2 linked regions of the Rhinolophus ferrumequinum genome follow. Each later gene encodes a partner of the first gene's protein in a complex. Links are inferred from orthologs where the notes say so. Each region holds a gene or a part of one and is shown on either strand. Other genes may lie near its edges.

Region 1 (7,924 bases):
TTAACAACTTTGAATATATATTGTGTCATAACCTCCAATATATAACATGCACATTACTTGAAATGAATTTGTATCAGGAATATCAATTTTCCTATAAAGTTGATTTAGGTGGAATTAATACATGTTTCCATCTGGGTTTTGAACAAAAATGTTGCATCCCCAGCTTTCATGATATCGTAGCAATGGCCAATTTTCATTGATGAACCCATTTGAGGCAAGATTTTTAAGCACAGGGCCAAGGAATGTTTTAGAGAGGGAGCCAACTTTGGTGGCTACCATCTGGCTAAGGAAAAAAAGAAAAGAGGCAGACTGCCAAGCGGTCAACATGTGGCCTTTTTGTCAATCATTCAACAAATGTTTCTGAAGCATCTATTACCTCTCAGACACTATTCTAGGTGCTGGATTTAGAAATGAACCAAACAGACAAAAAGCCCTTATGGAGTTTTATATGAGAAATGATCAAAGGGAGGAGAGATGAGTATAATGGTTTAAACGATTATTTGATTTAGAAACTTGGAAACAAAAAAAGGGGAAAGAAATCAATGGCCTCAACAACCTGATTAAATCCAGTATCCAATCCCCATCCTGCTCACTGCCTTAGAGGTCCTACCTGGAATGCTCACAGGTACAGTATGTGCTAAATGGAGAGTACAAATTGGTCCAGGATTCACAACAATGGGAGTAAATCAGGTGACGGGAATGGTCATCATCTGGAAATATAGGCCTGGGATTGCCAGATCTTGACCAGGAACTGAAACCCCCATTTCTATGTGAATCTCTTGATGTTTAAGTTCTGATAGCTAATTCAAAATTTTCAATAGCACCATTAAGTCAAAAGCAACACTTCTTCAGGCCAAAGATCCCAATTTGCACCCTTGGTCTTAGGTGGAAGTCCAGCAAGGGCAGAGTCTTGGGGGACAGGTGGCTCCAACTTGTAATAACTTCAAGGCAAAAAGGAAACTCCTATGTTAGCTAAGTTATCCTTGATCCTTTGGATACCAGAAGGATTTGGATTATGATTTGGGGTGACCTGATAGCTCACTGTCTGATCTTAGTACATATTCATTCATTTGCTCCAATTCATTCATTCATTCACTCATTCATTAATCAAATATTAGTAAATGGCTTCGGTGGCTGAAACACTGCTCTACTCAGCTTAAACACATTCCCATTTGGCCAGCCTTTTCGGGCCTTCCAGTCTGGTGGGACTTAGATGGCATTTACACTGTGAGTACAATACTTACTGTGATAATGCTGACCTTGGATAAGCACAAAATAAGTATATCTGATTAGTCAGAGGATCGGTTGAATGCATTTCTGAGGATAATAATAGAAAGATGTCACTGAGCTACTCTACCTCATCTAGACTATCAGTTTGGTGGCTTTTCTCTTTCAGAAGAAGGTGTTCTGTTTCACACCTGATTTTTCATCTTCTACATGTTGACCCTAGAACCATTTCTTTCAACTAAGAATCACTATCTTTCTGCTGTTGTGAAAACTGTCCTCTAGGTGGTGCCATTTGCAGCTCTCTAAGCCTGCGTCGGCCTGCTTTCCACCCCAGCAAGGCCACTTGACTCCCTGGCCAGACAGCTGTGCCAGCAAGCTCTGCACAGAGCAGCTCTTTCCCAGCTGTTGTAGGGCCGGCAATGCTCCAGGCTGACTTCTAATTGGTCTTACAGGTGACCACCACCGTGTGCCTATCCATACTCTTGGGTTGCTTTGAACGGTGCCTGGGATCTCTGCTCCTTGTTTTGAACTCCTAGCAATCCGTTCTCTACAGTGTAGATTGGTAGTGAGTGCGTCTCATTTTACATTGTTGTTTATTCTTTTATGCATGTGGACTGTCTGGCCAAATAGATTATTAAGACTTTAAGGCACTGCCTGGGACTGGGAGTCTGCAAGTGTTTTTGTTGTTGATGGAGGTTGTGGTATCCTTTTCTTTATTCATCATTTACAAGGTCTATGCTCTCAAGCAGCTTGAGAGAGAGAGAGAGAGAGAGAGAGAGAGAGAGAGAGAGAGAGAGAGAGAGAGAATGAATGAGAATTACAGTGGTGTAGTGCTATGCATGCTGGGAAGCAGCTGTGCCAAGTGCCTGGGAACAGAAGGAGTGCAGGCTTATCCTTCTCCAGGAACTCCTTTTACAAGAGTGCGACCTTTCACTCTAACTCTAGGATCACTCCTAGAGACTATTCTATACCTTTGACTGTTTTTCTTTTCCAGTCCCCCAAGGACAGGGTGATATGATCATGGGGGTAGGGATCCATCTCAGAATACCATAGAAGAGGTGACAGTCTTCCCATTTTCCTCTGGTGTTCAGTGTTCAAGCTCCTAGGATTTTGTGGCTTGCTTTTCAGCTATCTAGTAATTGCCCTAGAATACTTAAAATGGTTGATCATCTTACTCTGTGTTTTGGGGTGATTTGGAATGTGATTTGTATCTACAGTGTATCGAAGCAGTTAATTCCTTTCATCAAAAAATAGGTCAATTCCGTCAAAATGGATCCTGGTAGCTTGATGACATTTTCAAAAATCTCAGAGGATTCTTGGCTAGGAAACCCAGACATTTGAAGCTTCCTGTCATTTAATTTTCTGATGTTTTGAATCTGAAACCCATATATATATATATACATATATATACATACACATATATATGCATATATATATATACACATATATATGGATGCAAACTTATAATTAAGCTTTTCCTCTGAAGCCATTTAAAAGTTCTGCATGTTGAATTTCAGTCTTTAACTTCATTAGTCACTTTATTTTAAATTTCACAGCAGGTCTAGTGGCTTTTTGTGGGCATTCACATAAATGTGAGGTTTGTCCTTTCTGCTCTCTGAGCCAAGGTGAAATCTAATCATTTTCTAGGCCAAATATCCTTTTAAAAGGGAGTCTAAAATATAGATCTTATATCGCGATGACTTCTTTGATCTAAGTTCTGAAAGAGAGAGGTGGGGGCAGTCAAGGGGTGGAGGTAAAGGCAAATGAAAGAAGGTAGTCACACATCTGTCATTCGAGAACCCTTTGTGCATTTGTGACCTGTAGCAATAAGACTGTCATGATCATATTTTACACTCTGGATCAGCAGGTTGCACCAGAGACATCTCAGAGAAAACAAAACGTGAAAAAGGGACTCCCTGTATAGAATTCAATTTACTTTCAAGACCTCAGGTTCCGTTAAGGCAGGACGCAATATGAGTTTCATCTCTTGTAGCTATTAAACTACATAAAACCTGAATGAGCAAGATTTTTTTGTGTGTGTGTAGCCATTTTTCAGTCCTATGTAACAACAAAATATGCAAACATTTTTAAGTAAACTGCCCCAATCGAGAGTGGAAAACAAAATACTGGAATAAAATTTTGCTGAGGCGATGTTGGTTTTCTCATTTTTCTATTTTACTCTTTCCTTTTCTTTCACGTTATTTTGCATTTTCCCAGTAGACATCCATAATTCAATCTCGGCCTAGAAGGGTAAATTCGATTACTTGGCTGTTAAACATCACGTGCCTTTTAAAAAACAGGAGGAGAGCTTGTAAGAAAACAAAAACAACCTCAATGGCGTGAAAACTTGGAAGATATCAGGAAGCTCTTGGTAACTTCGGCAGCTTCATTTTTCTGCTCAGGATTTACATTTCTATGTCCAGTAACTGGGGAGAGTTTCACCTTTTAATTCCCCCCCGACACACACACACCTCCGGGAACCAGTGACAATTACTTCTCTTCCTCCGTCACACTCCACTATCGAGTGTATCTGATTTTCTACTACTGAACTGGGGTCAGAGATGACAGAGATACTCTCTAACCGAATGGCGTTATAGAAATAGGAACGGGAAGGAATACAGAAGCGGCTGCAGAGGGTCGCGCCAGCAGATCTGTGCTGTCCAGGAGCGGGGGGCGCGAGCGCCGCGGCCGCCTGCGGGGAGTTGGGCAGGGTGTCCACGGTGACAGCCGGTGCAGGGGGCTCGCGGGGCCGAATCCTGAGGATTCCCCGAGGGCCGAGGCCGCGCTCCGGGGCTGGTGGGCTGAAAGGGAGACAGAGGCCGCCATATTCCTGCTTCACCACGCCCGGGCAGCCGGCGGGCAGCGGCAGGTTGGCGGCCGCCCTGGCTGAGCTGGGGAGACCCGACCCCGCCCTCCGCCGGGGGCGGCCGTGACCGCGGCGCCCGCGGGCCCCGCAGAGGGCGCGGGAGCGGAAGGCGCCCGCAGAGCTCCCAGGGCCGGCCCAGCCCGGGAGGAGCGCGGGCGAGGCGAGAGCCGCACTGGGCGGCGCGCGCGGCGGCTGCGAGCCCAGGAGAGCCTTCCAGGAGGGGCCGGGCGGCACCGCCTCCCCGCTCCCTCCTCCTGCGCCCGCTCCCTCCTCCTCCTCCTCCTCCTCCTCCTCCTCCTCCTCCTCTTCCTCCCGCCGCCGCCGCCGCCGCCGCCGCCTCCCTCCCGGATCTGTGCTCCAGTTCAGAGAAAGAAGAAAATGTGTGTGTGTGGCGAGGGGGAGGGCGAGCACTGAGCAGCCGCTCCGCGCCTGGCAATCGGGGCCGGGGGTGGGCGCCTGGCGGAGGCGGAGGCGGAGGCGGAGGCGGAGGAGCGCGCGGCAGCCGGCGGGCGGTGGGCGCGGGCAGGGCCGAGGGCGCCCGGAGCCGTGTTAAGCGGCGGCCAAGAGCGGGCGCGCCGGGCGCAGAGAGCCATCGGCGGCCGCTCGCTGCGTACGCCCCGGTGGATGTGCTCTCGCCGCCGGGCGCAGGGCTTAGGGGAGCCTCGGCGGCAGCGGTGGCCGCGCGGGGGGCGAGGCGAGCCGCCCGTGCCCGGGGAAGGAAGCCCGGGCGTCTGAGCAAGGCCGGGAGCGGCGGCCTTTCGTCGCGCGCACCCCGAACCAGCGCCCGCGGCCGCCTCCCGCCCCGCCTCGCTCCTGCGGGCGGCCCAGCCGTCTGCTCCCGCCGCACCCCCGTTCCACCTGGTGGCTCCGGCCCTGGCCGCGGCCACCGCGGCGGTTCCCCGAGCTAGTCCCGGACGCGCGCCCGGGCGGCGGGGGCTCGGCGGCCACCGCTGCCTCGGGGGAGCGAGGGCGGGAGGGTGTGTGTGCGCGCGTGTGAGCAGGGGGTGCCGGCGGGGCTGCAGCGGAGGCACTTTGGAAGAATGACTCTGGAGTCCATCATGGCGTGCTGCCTGAGCGAGGAGGCCAAGGAAGCCCGGAGGATCAACGACGAGATCGAGCGGCAGCTCCGCAGGGACAAGCGGGACGCTCGCCGGGAGCTCAAGCTGCTGCTGCTGGGTGAGTACCGCCCGGGGCCGGCCTTCGCGGGCCCTTTCCCCGGACCTCGGCGCCCCCCGCCAGCCACCCCCGAACCCCCCGGGCAGCCGCCGCCAGCGGCCCCCGCCTCAGGGCGCCCGCGGTTGTTCCCTACCCTCCCCCGGCGCGCCCCCGGCCACCACCCGCACCCTTTCGGGCGCGCGCGTACACACATACACTCGCACACACACGCAGAGGGGTCGGGCTGCCCTGCCCCCGGCCCCTGAAGGCCGTGCATTCGGGGTGCGCGTTTATTTGCCGTGCATCTCCTAAATGGCAAATAACTTGGGTGCGGGGGAAGGCATGGGAAGGTGGAAAGAGGGGTTGAACTTCCAGTGTCGTGGCCGCGGCGCCCCGTGGGTGGTGGAGTGGGGAGCTAGCTGTGTGTGTGGCCCGAGGGTGGCGAACGGAGCCAGGGCAACTAGGGGGTGGCCTGTGTGCATCCATATCAGTGCATTCTGGGGTCAGGAGGGAATGGTGGAACGGTGGTGGGCAGAGTCACAGCTGGCTTCTTCAAGGAGTGATGATGAGAGAGGCGAGTGGTTGGCCCTCCAAAGAAAGGAGGCTTATGTATTAGGGGGGCAGGGAGGCAAGCACAAATGTGTCACACAAGTGCTGTTCCCTAGCCACCAGACCAACGAAAGGACGGACCCCAGAAGAGTTTCTTGACCAGTGGATAGTGACAGGCGTGTTTCTTGTCTGCAAAATTCCTTCCAGATAAAAAGGCAAGGGATAGGGGAGCGTTGTGCTGTGTGGTTGTTGACAGCGACGGGTATCTTTTGTTTAATGAGGCAACCCAGATGTAGGCCTGAATTCACAATAGTTACTACTGAAAACCAGTGCAGCCTCTCAATTACTCTCATGGAGACAAATAGAAACCTTTTGTTTAAAACGGACAGCATTTTAATATGTTTGGAATCTGGACTGGAAGGAAAACGGGAAGTGTACAGCAAGAAATTTCCCTTTAATCTCTAAAAAAAAACCAAAAAAACTCAACGTTCTTCTCTAACACTAAGTTAGCAAGAAAATGCTGGTTCTCAATTAGGAATTCTGTTGATTATTATCTCTGAGAGATTGTTCAGAATCAGCCATCAGGGTTCGCATATACAAGCCAGGGTAACATACTCTGAGCTATTGTGGTAAGAAGAGCAAACAGCTTTGCAGTAACAGGCCTGAAAAATGCCTGCACTCGTGTTCAGGATATTTACGTGTATAATAAATATGTTTCTCAGACATTTCTGGAAGAAAAGAATATTGTATTGTCAATTCGGATTTGAGAAACGTGTTTTCTTATCTTGAGCATTCAGTCTCCTGGTTCAAGGAATCAGTTGCCTTTTGGACTGAACTGCTTATGTACCTGGATCATTTAAAGAAGGAACAAAATATAATGATCACAAATAGTTACAAATGGTTAATTCACATGCTATGCTTTATGTTTTCATTTTGAAGCAGATTAGATAAATGTGCACATGTTTATAAAGAACAGAAGGCAAAGTGCTTGATAAAAGAGGTGGGCTTTCAGAAATGAAGGCAGGGCAGGGTAAACTCTTATGGGAAAATGATCTTTTTATTTTTTTATTTTTATTCTCATTTTGAGCTGCTTTTACTGGCTGAAAATGTAGTTGAATGTTTTCTGAATTATCATGATTGAGAAGACAATAGAGAGGGCAAGAGAAATGTATAGAGTGTTTGGGTGCATGATTAAGGGGGCAAAAGCATGTGTTTTAGACTTAACGGTTTTTCTCTTTTCCCTTCCCTGTTTACAGCCTTTACATGTTTCTGTTTAGCTGTGAATTGGGTGGTGAGGGCTCTCAAGCCAACCCTATGGCTTGAAATGTGACAGCTCTGGGTTCCTAGGAGCTATGAGTTAGAGCCCAGGGGGTTCATCTGTTTGAGGGCCTAGGTTTCAATGTCTAGGAGGAGGACTTTTGGGGAAATACACATACATGGATGCTTAATTGCACACTGTGTATTTAAATAACATACTGTGCTTTAAAAAAATGAACTTGCAAGTAATTGCATGAGAAAAAAAATAAAGTAAAACAATTTTACTGCTTAAGTGTTGGCAGTGGGGAGGATTTTTTTTTTTTCTTATTAGATAGTTGAGTAGGGTTTAATACAAGCCCCACCCCGGCCCCCAAATATGGCCTCTTAGAAGTGGTAGAAAAATATGACTTTCATTTAGCACCTACATTCATTGGTAACATTTAAAAATGATACAACTTGCTGTTAGAAATGTGATGCCTAGACATCATGTAACATTTGCTACTGCTTCATGTTCTAAGTATGTTGCTTTTGTAACAAATCTACTGTAATATCTATGCTATTTATATAGTTAATGATATATGCTAAATGTAGGTTTGTGTGTATGGGCATTTCATGATTTTTTGAGTCCAGGAGATAAATGATGGTCGATGTGAATCAGGGCAGGTATTGGGAAGGGGTTCCTTTGAGTACCTCCTGACGGGCTCCTTAGATGAGTCTTCTGGTGCCTTCATTCATTTAAGTGATACCTGACCAAAGGAGGTTAAGGGATGTACCCTTTCACGGTTTAACGATTCACCAATATTTTTAAATATTTAAATTGAGGAATCACCCTTATTTTTAAATGAAATTCCAGATTAAATTCTTTTCAAA
Region 2 (7,753 bases), on another chromosome or scaffold:
AGGAATGGTAAGGGAGTGTGCATGGCTGGAGCAGAATGAGTGAGGGGAATAGAGGAGATGAAGTCAAGGAGGGTGTGTGTGTGTGTGTGTGTGTGTGTGTGTGTGTGTGTGTGTTCATGGGGAGGGGTTCAGGATGTCTGAACCTTTGACAGACTTTGGTTTGAACTCAGAAATGGGAAGCTACTTCAGTATTTTAAGTAAGGAAGTCATCATGTTACCGGCTTTGTGGGTCTTGGGTTCCCCAAGATAGAAATTGAGAGGAAACCTCAGAAAAATTTCCAGACAGGTTTTATTAAGTTTATGCTCGAGCACAAGGGAGGTAGCACAGAGGAAAGGAAGGTCCTCCAAACTGGCTCGGGGTCGGGCTGTGCCTAGCTGTTTTTATAAGCTGGAGACAAAAAAATAAAACAAACAAAAACGGGGGCTTGTGTGAAAAGACAGGCTTTCGGAAAAAGGCAGGTTTCCTTTACCAGCTACATTGCCTGGTAACCATGGTCAGGCCTGCACTGTGGGGCAAGATGGCAGACTGCTCATTATTGCCACCCCAGGAAGGTCCGATGGTGGTCAACTGCTGTAGAGGGATCACCCTTGTGGTCAGTTTATCCAGCATTCCTTTGGCCCTGGGCCTAGTCCCTGTGCTGTCTCAATCTGATGCACATTTTCACAGGTTCACTCTGATCACTGTGTTGAGAGAAGACTGTGTAAGGCTTATGGGTAAAATGAGGGAGACAAGTTATAAGGCTATTGCAATAATCTAGGCAAAAGATAATAGTAAGTTGGACCAGGGTGGTATTTGGGATATATTTTCAAGGTGGGATTTGCTGATGAATCAGATGTGGAATATAAGAGAAGTCAAGGATGACTCCAAGACTTTTGATTTGGGCAACTGGAAGGATGGGGTTTAAGGAGATGAGCAGAGAAGACTATGAGAGGGGTGTAGTGGATCAGAAATTTAGTTTTGGATACATGCTTGATATGCTTATCGTCAGGTCCCAGTGGAGTTGTTGAGTAACTGGATGGATATGTTATTTTTAGGGAATGGAGAAATCTGGGCTCTAAATACTAATTTGGGAGTTGTCTGCACATACATTTATTTAAAAACCACAGGAGATGAGTGTACATTGAAAAGAAGTTAAAGGACAAACCCAGGGGCACTCCAGAGTATAGAATTCAAGAAGGTGAGTGAGAACCAGAAAACAACCAACTCTTCTGAACTGTCAGTGAGGTAGGAGGCGAGATCAAGGCATGTGTGATTAGTTCAGGAAGCCAACTGAACATCGTATTCAAGAAGGAGAGATCAATTGGGTCCAATTCCACAGTCAGCTTGAGCAACATGAAAACTGAGAATTGACCAAAGGACTTACCATGTGAAGGTCACTGCTAACCTTGTTCAAAGTGTTTATTCAGTGAATTGATGAGTGAACGAATGTAATGTTTCCTCCATCTATATTTGGCCAGGACCCAAGAGTGCAGGGATTATATCTTTGTTTCTCCAGGAAGAGTTGGATGAGTTTGATAAATGATTGTAGAATTGATTGAATGAAATGGCTTTTCCTTCACTGCCTGGCCTATCCCAGTTCCTACTTTATTTTCCTTAGAATGTGGAGGGTGGGAAACTGCACAAAGTTCCCAATTCCCAGATGCCAGGCTATCTGGAATTGCCGGTGGTTATTTTCCTGTACTGCTGCACAGAGCTGTACAAAATCCCAAGCCCTTCAGGTCAAAGGAGTCACCAATATCTAAAGAACAAATCTTGTAGTTTCAAAGTCACAGGAAAATATCTGCAAACTAACTCAAATGAATGTAGTTAGATAGTCAGGCTGCTGGTTTATAGTCATTCTTGAGATAATTACTCGTAACTCAACATTGTTCAAAAACGTATTTTCTTGGGAATTTTGATGATTCAGAGCACAAAATCATAAAACACCAGTGAAAATTACAGTCAAAACCAGCCAGGTCTTCATGCATTGTTCTCTGAAAAGAGGAAGATTCCCCCTGGAGGAAGTCATTCTATAGTAGCTACCATTTCCATATACCAGGAACTGCTAAAGAAGCACTTTATGGGCATTTAGAAAACGGAGTCCTCTCAACCACCCTACAGGAATGGTACTGTGATCACCCCCAGATTTTAGATGTAATAGTAATAGATTATAATGAGAAAATGGTAGAGGCTTGGAAAGACTGAGGGGACATCATAGGGCTTACCTCCCCTAATGAGGGACCCTCAGGTGTAAACCGATCCCCATCAGAACTGTCCCCTGGACAAGAAGTCCCTGGTGCTTCTTCTAGAAGTTAACTTTTCCTGGAAGAAAAGAGGGCACAGGCTGATGCATGTGGCCCTGGGAGGTAGCATCCTGAGAGCTGGGGTGCAAGTGGGGTGTGTGAAGGAGATTCCTGAGAGAAAGGAAGGAATCAAAAAGAATGTGTTGGGCTTCTATCATGCATCAAACACAGTCACAATTTATTTTATCTTCAGACACCTTTGAACTAAAAAGAATATTAACTCCGTTTTGTATGTTAAGGAACCTGAAGCTTAGAGAGGGTAAGTCTTTCTCCAACGTCACACAGATGTTGGTAAGGCGAGAAGCCAGAATTTGCCCACAGGAATACATGATTTCAAAGGCTAACCTCTTTCCACATTCCAAAAACAATTCATTTGAGATATAGCAATGAGGGATTCCTAAGGGATGGGCTACTGAAAAGCAGCCACTAAAAAGAATTGTCTTTCACAGAACAGCTTTCCCTAGCCATGCTTATCTGTGTGTGTGTGTGTGTGTGTGTGTGTGTGTGTATGTGTGTTAGGAGTCAGTCCATTCCTGTTATTCAGGGAACGAGTATTCCACTCCCATGGCATGTTAAAGGTCATTTGCTTCTCTTCCTTTTCAGTTTTTATTTCCCTCCTCTTGGGAGCTCCTCTGTCCAGGTAGAGAGAAAAGGTAGAATGCCAACTATCCACTTACAAGTCGATAACTTTGGGGAAATGTTTTATTGGGGATATGGTTAAACAACTGGCTAGCATGACATTGTATATACTTTTGTCTGCCTGCATTATCTCAAACCCACATTCGTTCTATTAATTGGCCCCACAGTGGGTTCAGTAAGAGGACACAGGGCCTATATCAGATGTAAGCTCCATCCTAGAAACTCACAGGCCTAAGATTGTGGCCATTCAGTTAATGGTTCAAAACTTAGTAGTGGTTACAGGCACTGACTCACAAACTTTGGTCTTCTAGGGAGAATCACAGACTCTGAGGGCTCAAGCTCGTCACCCGGCTATCCGGACTCGCCCAAACTGGCTGGAGCTGGGGAGGAAACGCCCTCTCCCACACGCTGGACTGATGACCTGGTCTTTTGCTGCAAGCTGGGCCGTGATGTGACCCTCCACCTCACCAGGCAGGCCTGAGGACTGGGACTGGCCGGACTTGTTAGAAATGTTTCTCCACTGAGCGAAAATCAGCCTCCCACTCTGGCTTCCACCTCTTTCTGCATTCTTGGACCTACTCAAAACACATCTAATTCTCTTCGACATGCTAATCCTTCAAATATCTGAAGACAACACTCCCGTTTCTCTTTACTGCCCCTCCACTACCCAATAGTTTAAATGGATAACAGTCAACTTTATTTTTTAAAGCAAGTAAAAAGGAAGACATTACCAATATGCTGAAGGCCCTTGTGCGCTCATCACCGATCTCACACTCGTTCTATCCCCACCCCCTCTATCTGCTTATAAATGTCTTTGGTCCCTAGGATCCCAATGTGGAAAAGACCCTAGTGGAAACATTTATGGTGCAATGATTAATAGAAGACAGTGGCACTCATAGACTAGAGTTTAAATGTGGTTGACATTTACAGCCTGTATCTATAAACTGCATAACTGTGGGCAATTTATCCAACCTTTCTAAGCCCCATCTCCTCGTTTGTAAAACGGGAATAATAATCATACTTAGTGCGCAGGTTGTTTTCAGGGTTAAACTACACAGGGCTCCTAAATCATTCGCACTTCTCACTTAAAGTAACTGTTCCAACTGTTTTCTCCCCGTCCACCTCTCAGACGAGGAAATGGGCCTAGAAGGAGGTGAAGAGGTTTGTTGGAGGTCGCAGCTAGTTAACAGCAGAGCGGAAACCTATCCTACATCCCTAACCCCTCCTATCCGTACCCCTTTCTGCTCCCCACCGCTTTCTTTGGTGTCCGCAGCCATCCATTTTGCCTCTGCAGATTAAAAACGTGTCCACTCCACTGGGAAGCCTCTACCAATTACCGAGGGTAAGTGCAGTGAGCTCGAGTCTTGCTTTTTTGCCATTTAGGTAAGGGGAGGGGCGATGGACGACACTGGCTCCTCAGTAGGAATTAAAGGTGAAAGGTAGTTGTAGGCGTCGCGCAGGCCTGGAGGAACCCTCCGTCCCAGCGTTCCTACTATTTGCATTCCAATAAGGCTACTTCACCGGCCTACCCTGCCCGCGGGCGGCTCGGGCTGGCTGGGAACTGCAGCTCGTCCACCCGGAGCCGGGAGGGCGGCGAGTGGCGGGGTAGCTCGGAGCCTGGAGGCCCCGGGCCGAGCCCGAGCGCCTGACAGCTGAAGGGGCGGGACGGGGCCGCGGGTTTGGCCCCTGGGCGTGGCCTCGCGCAGGTGCTGGAGCGGCTGGGGTTTCACTGAAACTTATCAGGCTCTGGGAAGGCGCGCGCAGCGGCTCCAGTTAGGGGCAGGTGAGAGAGTGGCTTTCTCTTCCACCCGCGAGTGGAGCTCTGAGTTTTGAATCAGTGGCGGCGAATTCCTCGCTCGCCCGGCGTCCGGGTTGTTGGAAGAATGCGAAGCCCGAGCGCGGCATGGCTGCTGGGGAGCGCCATCCTGCTGGCGGCCTCTGCCTCGGGTGACCGCACGATCCAAGGTGAGAAACGGCCGCGGAGGGCTCGTGCCGCTAAGGAGCAGGGATTCTGGGCACTGTCGGCAGGTGGGGGAAGTGGGCCAGTGCGCGCAGGGTGTTCTGCTGCCTCCGAGCACCTCCCGTACACTCCACAGTCTCCTCTCCGCCGCTTTCACGGGGGATCCCCGCGTTCAGGGAGCCACCGAATGAGACAATCCCAAGAGGCTGAAGTTCACGGAGGGAAGGGAAAGGAGTGCTCGAGTCTAAAGGCTACTTAGAGGACTCCCACGGGTTGGCTTCTTTGCAAACACTAGGTCATTAAGGAGCTTTTCGCACACCCTGGCGACTTCCTCCGGGCTGGTCCCAGGGGACCCCTGGAGTTATGAGTTGATGGATCGGAGCGGGGTTGAGTGGGTGGGAGCCCCGCGGCCAAGAACCTCGCTTCTTGCAACCCCTTTAGCCTTTGGAGCTCCCTCTTTGGGAACGGCCCACGGGGTTAAAGACCCACCGGCCCGCAGCTCCCCTGGCACCATGCACCGCTCGGTATGGAAGTCAGGGCCGGCCCCCGCCGGGTTCTCGCGGTAACCGGCGCTTTGCTTCAAGTTTTAGGCCAGTTGGGCATCACGCAGATTTATGGAAGTTCTTGAACTCTGCCTTATATTCGACCAGGTGATCTTAGGGCCCTGAGTTCCCGCACCCTTCTCTGTCACCCGGAGCGTGCACTGGCTGCCACTGAGATCGGAGGCTGCCAGTCCCGGGGACTGAACAGCGCGAGAGCCAACTGGGTGGTGATCAGGTGCCTAATTGTTCGCGGCTGCGGGTGACTGCCCTGCGAGTGCTCCAAGTTGTTCTGCTGGGGGTGGAATCTCCCTGGCGGAGCAGGCGTCTGAGGGCGTGGGGAATCCTTGGCCTGAGATCGCGCTGCTGTGATGCTAACAGACGCCCCACAGTTTGGGGCAGGCAGGGTTGTCTTCAAAGGGAAGTTTTTCTTTCCCTGCGAAATTTGCCGACCTGCTGTAAAGGGTCAGTTTCTCATTTTTATTCTTTTCATGAAGATATTGTAAAAGAGCATTTGAATTTGCTCTTAAAAGAGCATGTGAATTTGAATTAGATTGAAGAATGTAATTCTTTTCCCTCTGGAGTTACAGAAAAGGGGATTATGGTGTATACTTGAGAACTGCACCACTGACTACATTTTATTGTCAGCATTTATTTATTTCCGGGAGGTATTGAAAATGATTAATACTTCTCCATTTACCTTTCAGCTCCAAGTCAAGTACGGTAGTTGTTTCATTCTAGTTGTGGAGGGTGCAGCTCACGGTGGCCCATGTGGAGATCGAACCCGCAACCCTGGCATTCGGAGCATCGTGCTCTAATCAACTGAGCTAATAGGTCGCCCCTACCTTTGTCTTTTAAAGTTAGAAAGTTAAAATTGAGGAGCAAAACTTAGAATGTGCAAATACGTTTGAAAAATATGTGGGTGTAGGTGAGTCAGTGCTTTTATGATTCAGACAGTTCCTATAGGAAGTTCGTCCTGAGTATGGGCTTGTTCTTGTTTACAAAGCGACTGGGCTGGGGCTGGAGGATTCCTCCAGTATAAGGTGAACTTAATTTAACAACAGCAAAATCAAGTTACTTGTTAACCAGAACTATTTAATATTGCATTTGGGTTGTTTTGTTTTGTTCCATCTTCATACTTTGATTCCCTTGTAGGGTAAGGTTCCTGAAGTGTTACTTAAGTAACAGACTTTAGGTAGATGGAGCTTTCCTCCCAACTTGAAACTAAATTAATTTTGATAAAGAAATAGAGCATCGCCAGAGTTTTTTTGCTTCTCAGCCCACGTCTTTGCTCATCCCCTTTTAGCTTGACCTTTACCCACGCTCCTCAATTTGCTACAGGACAGATAACAGCTTTGATTTTCTTCCCAAAGGCCTTACCCTGAAAGACTGCCTCATGAAAGGGAACTCAACCTAGAGAACAACCTTCTCGTTTTACATAGGCAGCCCACGGAATTTGTGGGGGGCAAGGAAAAACATTCCATCAGACTCTGCTTTCTTTCCTATTTGTCACAACAGTAATTGATAATGACTTTTGTAAATAAGTTTAATCTGTCTCCCCACTGGATCCTAAACTCTTGGAGGCCAGGGACCCTTGCGTCATCTCCATTGCCATGGTCCAGCACGCTCATTATTTAAAGGACTTCAGTAAATAGCAAATGAAGAGTGAAATGAGGGGACTTGCCCAGAGAGACCTGGCAGGTTGATGGCAGTTGGGCATTTAAATCAGCTTTTTTCAGGCACTGATTTCTTTCTACCACATTGTAAGCTTGGGAAGGCCCCTGTGATGCAGTCATTCCTTTTTTTTTCTTTTGGAGACTGAAACTTCTGTTCTCTTTGTAATTGGTTTTTAGTGATACAAGTAATATGTGATTGCTACAGAGGAAAAATGAGAAAAAAAGGAAAAGTTTAATTAAGTCACCCTCAGTACCCAAGAAACCATGCTCACATTTTGGTTTATATCCTTTTCCATGCTTTCATGCATCCATGCATAAAATATGTATTCACAAATATAGAAAGTCTTTATATGCAAGTATGGGATTAAATAAACCATTAGCATGTCAGTAACTATAAAACATTTTTAATGACTCTAAAACATGTTGTAGGAGAATGTGTCATAATTTTTAAATTGGTCCTGTTGATAGACAACATGGGGTATTTCCACTGTCTCATAATAAGAGAGAATACTATAATGAGCATGAAGATGGGATTTTGAATTTGTGGTTTTGGTTCCTTTGCTTGCCTTGTAGTTACTAATTAACCTTGATAGGCGATGTTTTAGTGAAGTCTGTGTTTGACTTTCTTATGGTTTTATTAGCAAGACAAGTGTTGA

The links. The genes of interacting proteins can lie anywhere in the genome.
Region 2: the proteins of guanine nucleotide-binding protein G(q) subunit alpha (region 1) and F2RL1 are in contact, whole or in part, in a cryo-EM structure (PDB 9D0A), measured with the Homo sapiens proteins. The link is inferred for Rhinolophus ferrumequinum from reciprocal best matches to the Homo sapiens genes GNAQ and F2RL1. Residues at the interface, in NP_002063.2 of Homo sapiens: Arg37, Ile323, Tyr325, Asp346, Ile348, Leu349, Gln350, Asn352, Leu353, Glu355, Tyr356, Asn357, Leu358, Val359; in NP_005233.4 of Homo sapiens: His108, Pro109, Ala110, Met114, Gln172, Arg173, Val176, Ile177, Pro180, Met181, Gly182, His183, Ser184, Arg185, Met265, Met268, Leu269, Met274, Asp275, Asn277, Lys280, Lys281, Arg284, Ala285, Leu288, Ile289, Tyr344, Tyr345, Val347, Ser348.

What each region holds. Positions count from the first base shown.
Region 1 is NC_046295.1:42,698,459-42,706,382, reverse strand, and holds the start of guanine nucleotide-binding protein G(q) subunit alpha, read left to right. Parts: upstream 1-4,911; 5' UTR 4,912-5,133; coding exon 5,134-5,269; intron 5,270-7,924.
Region 2 is NC_046290.1:49,084,966-49,092,718, forward strand, and holds the start of F2RL1 (proteinase-activated receptor 2), read left to right. Parts: upstream 1-4,735; 5' UTR 4,736-4,805; coding exon 4,806-4,887; intron 4,888-7,753. UniProt on the Homo sapiens protein: Receptor for trypsin and trypsin-like enzymes coupled to G proteins.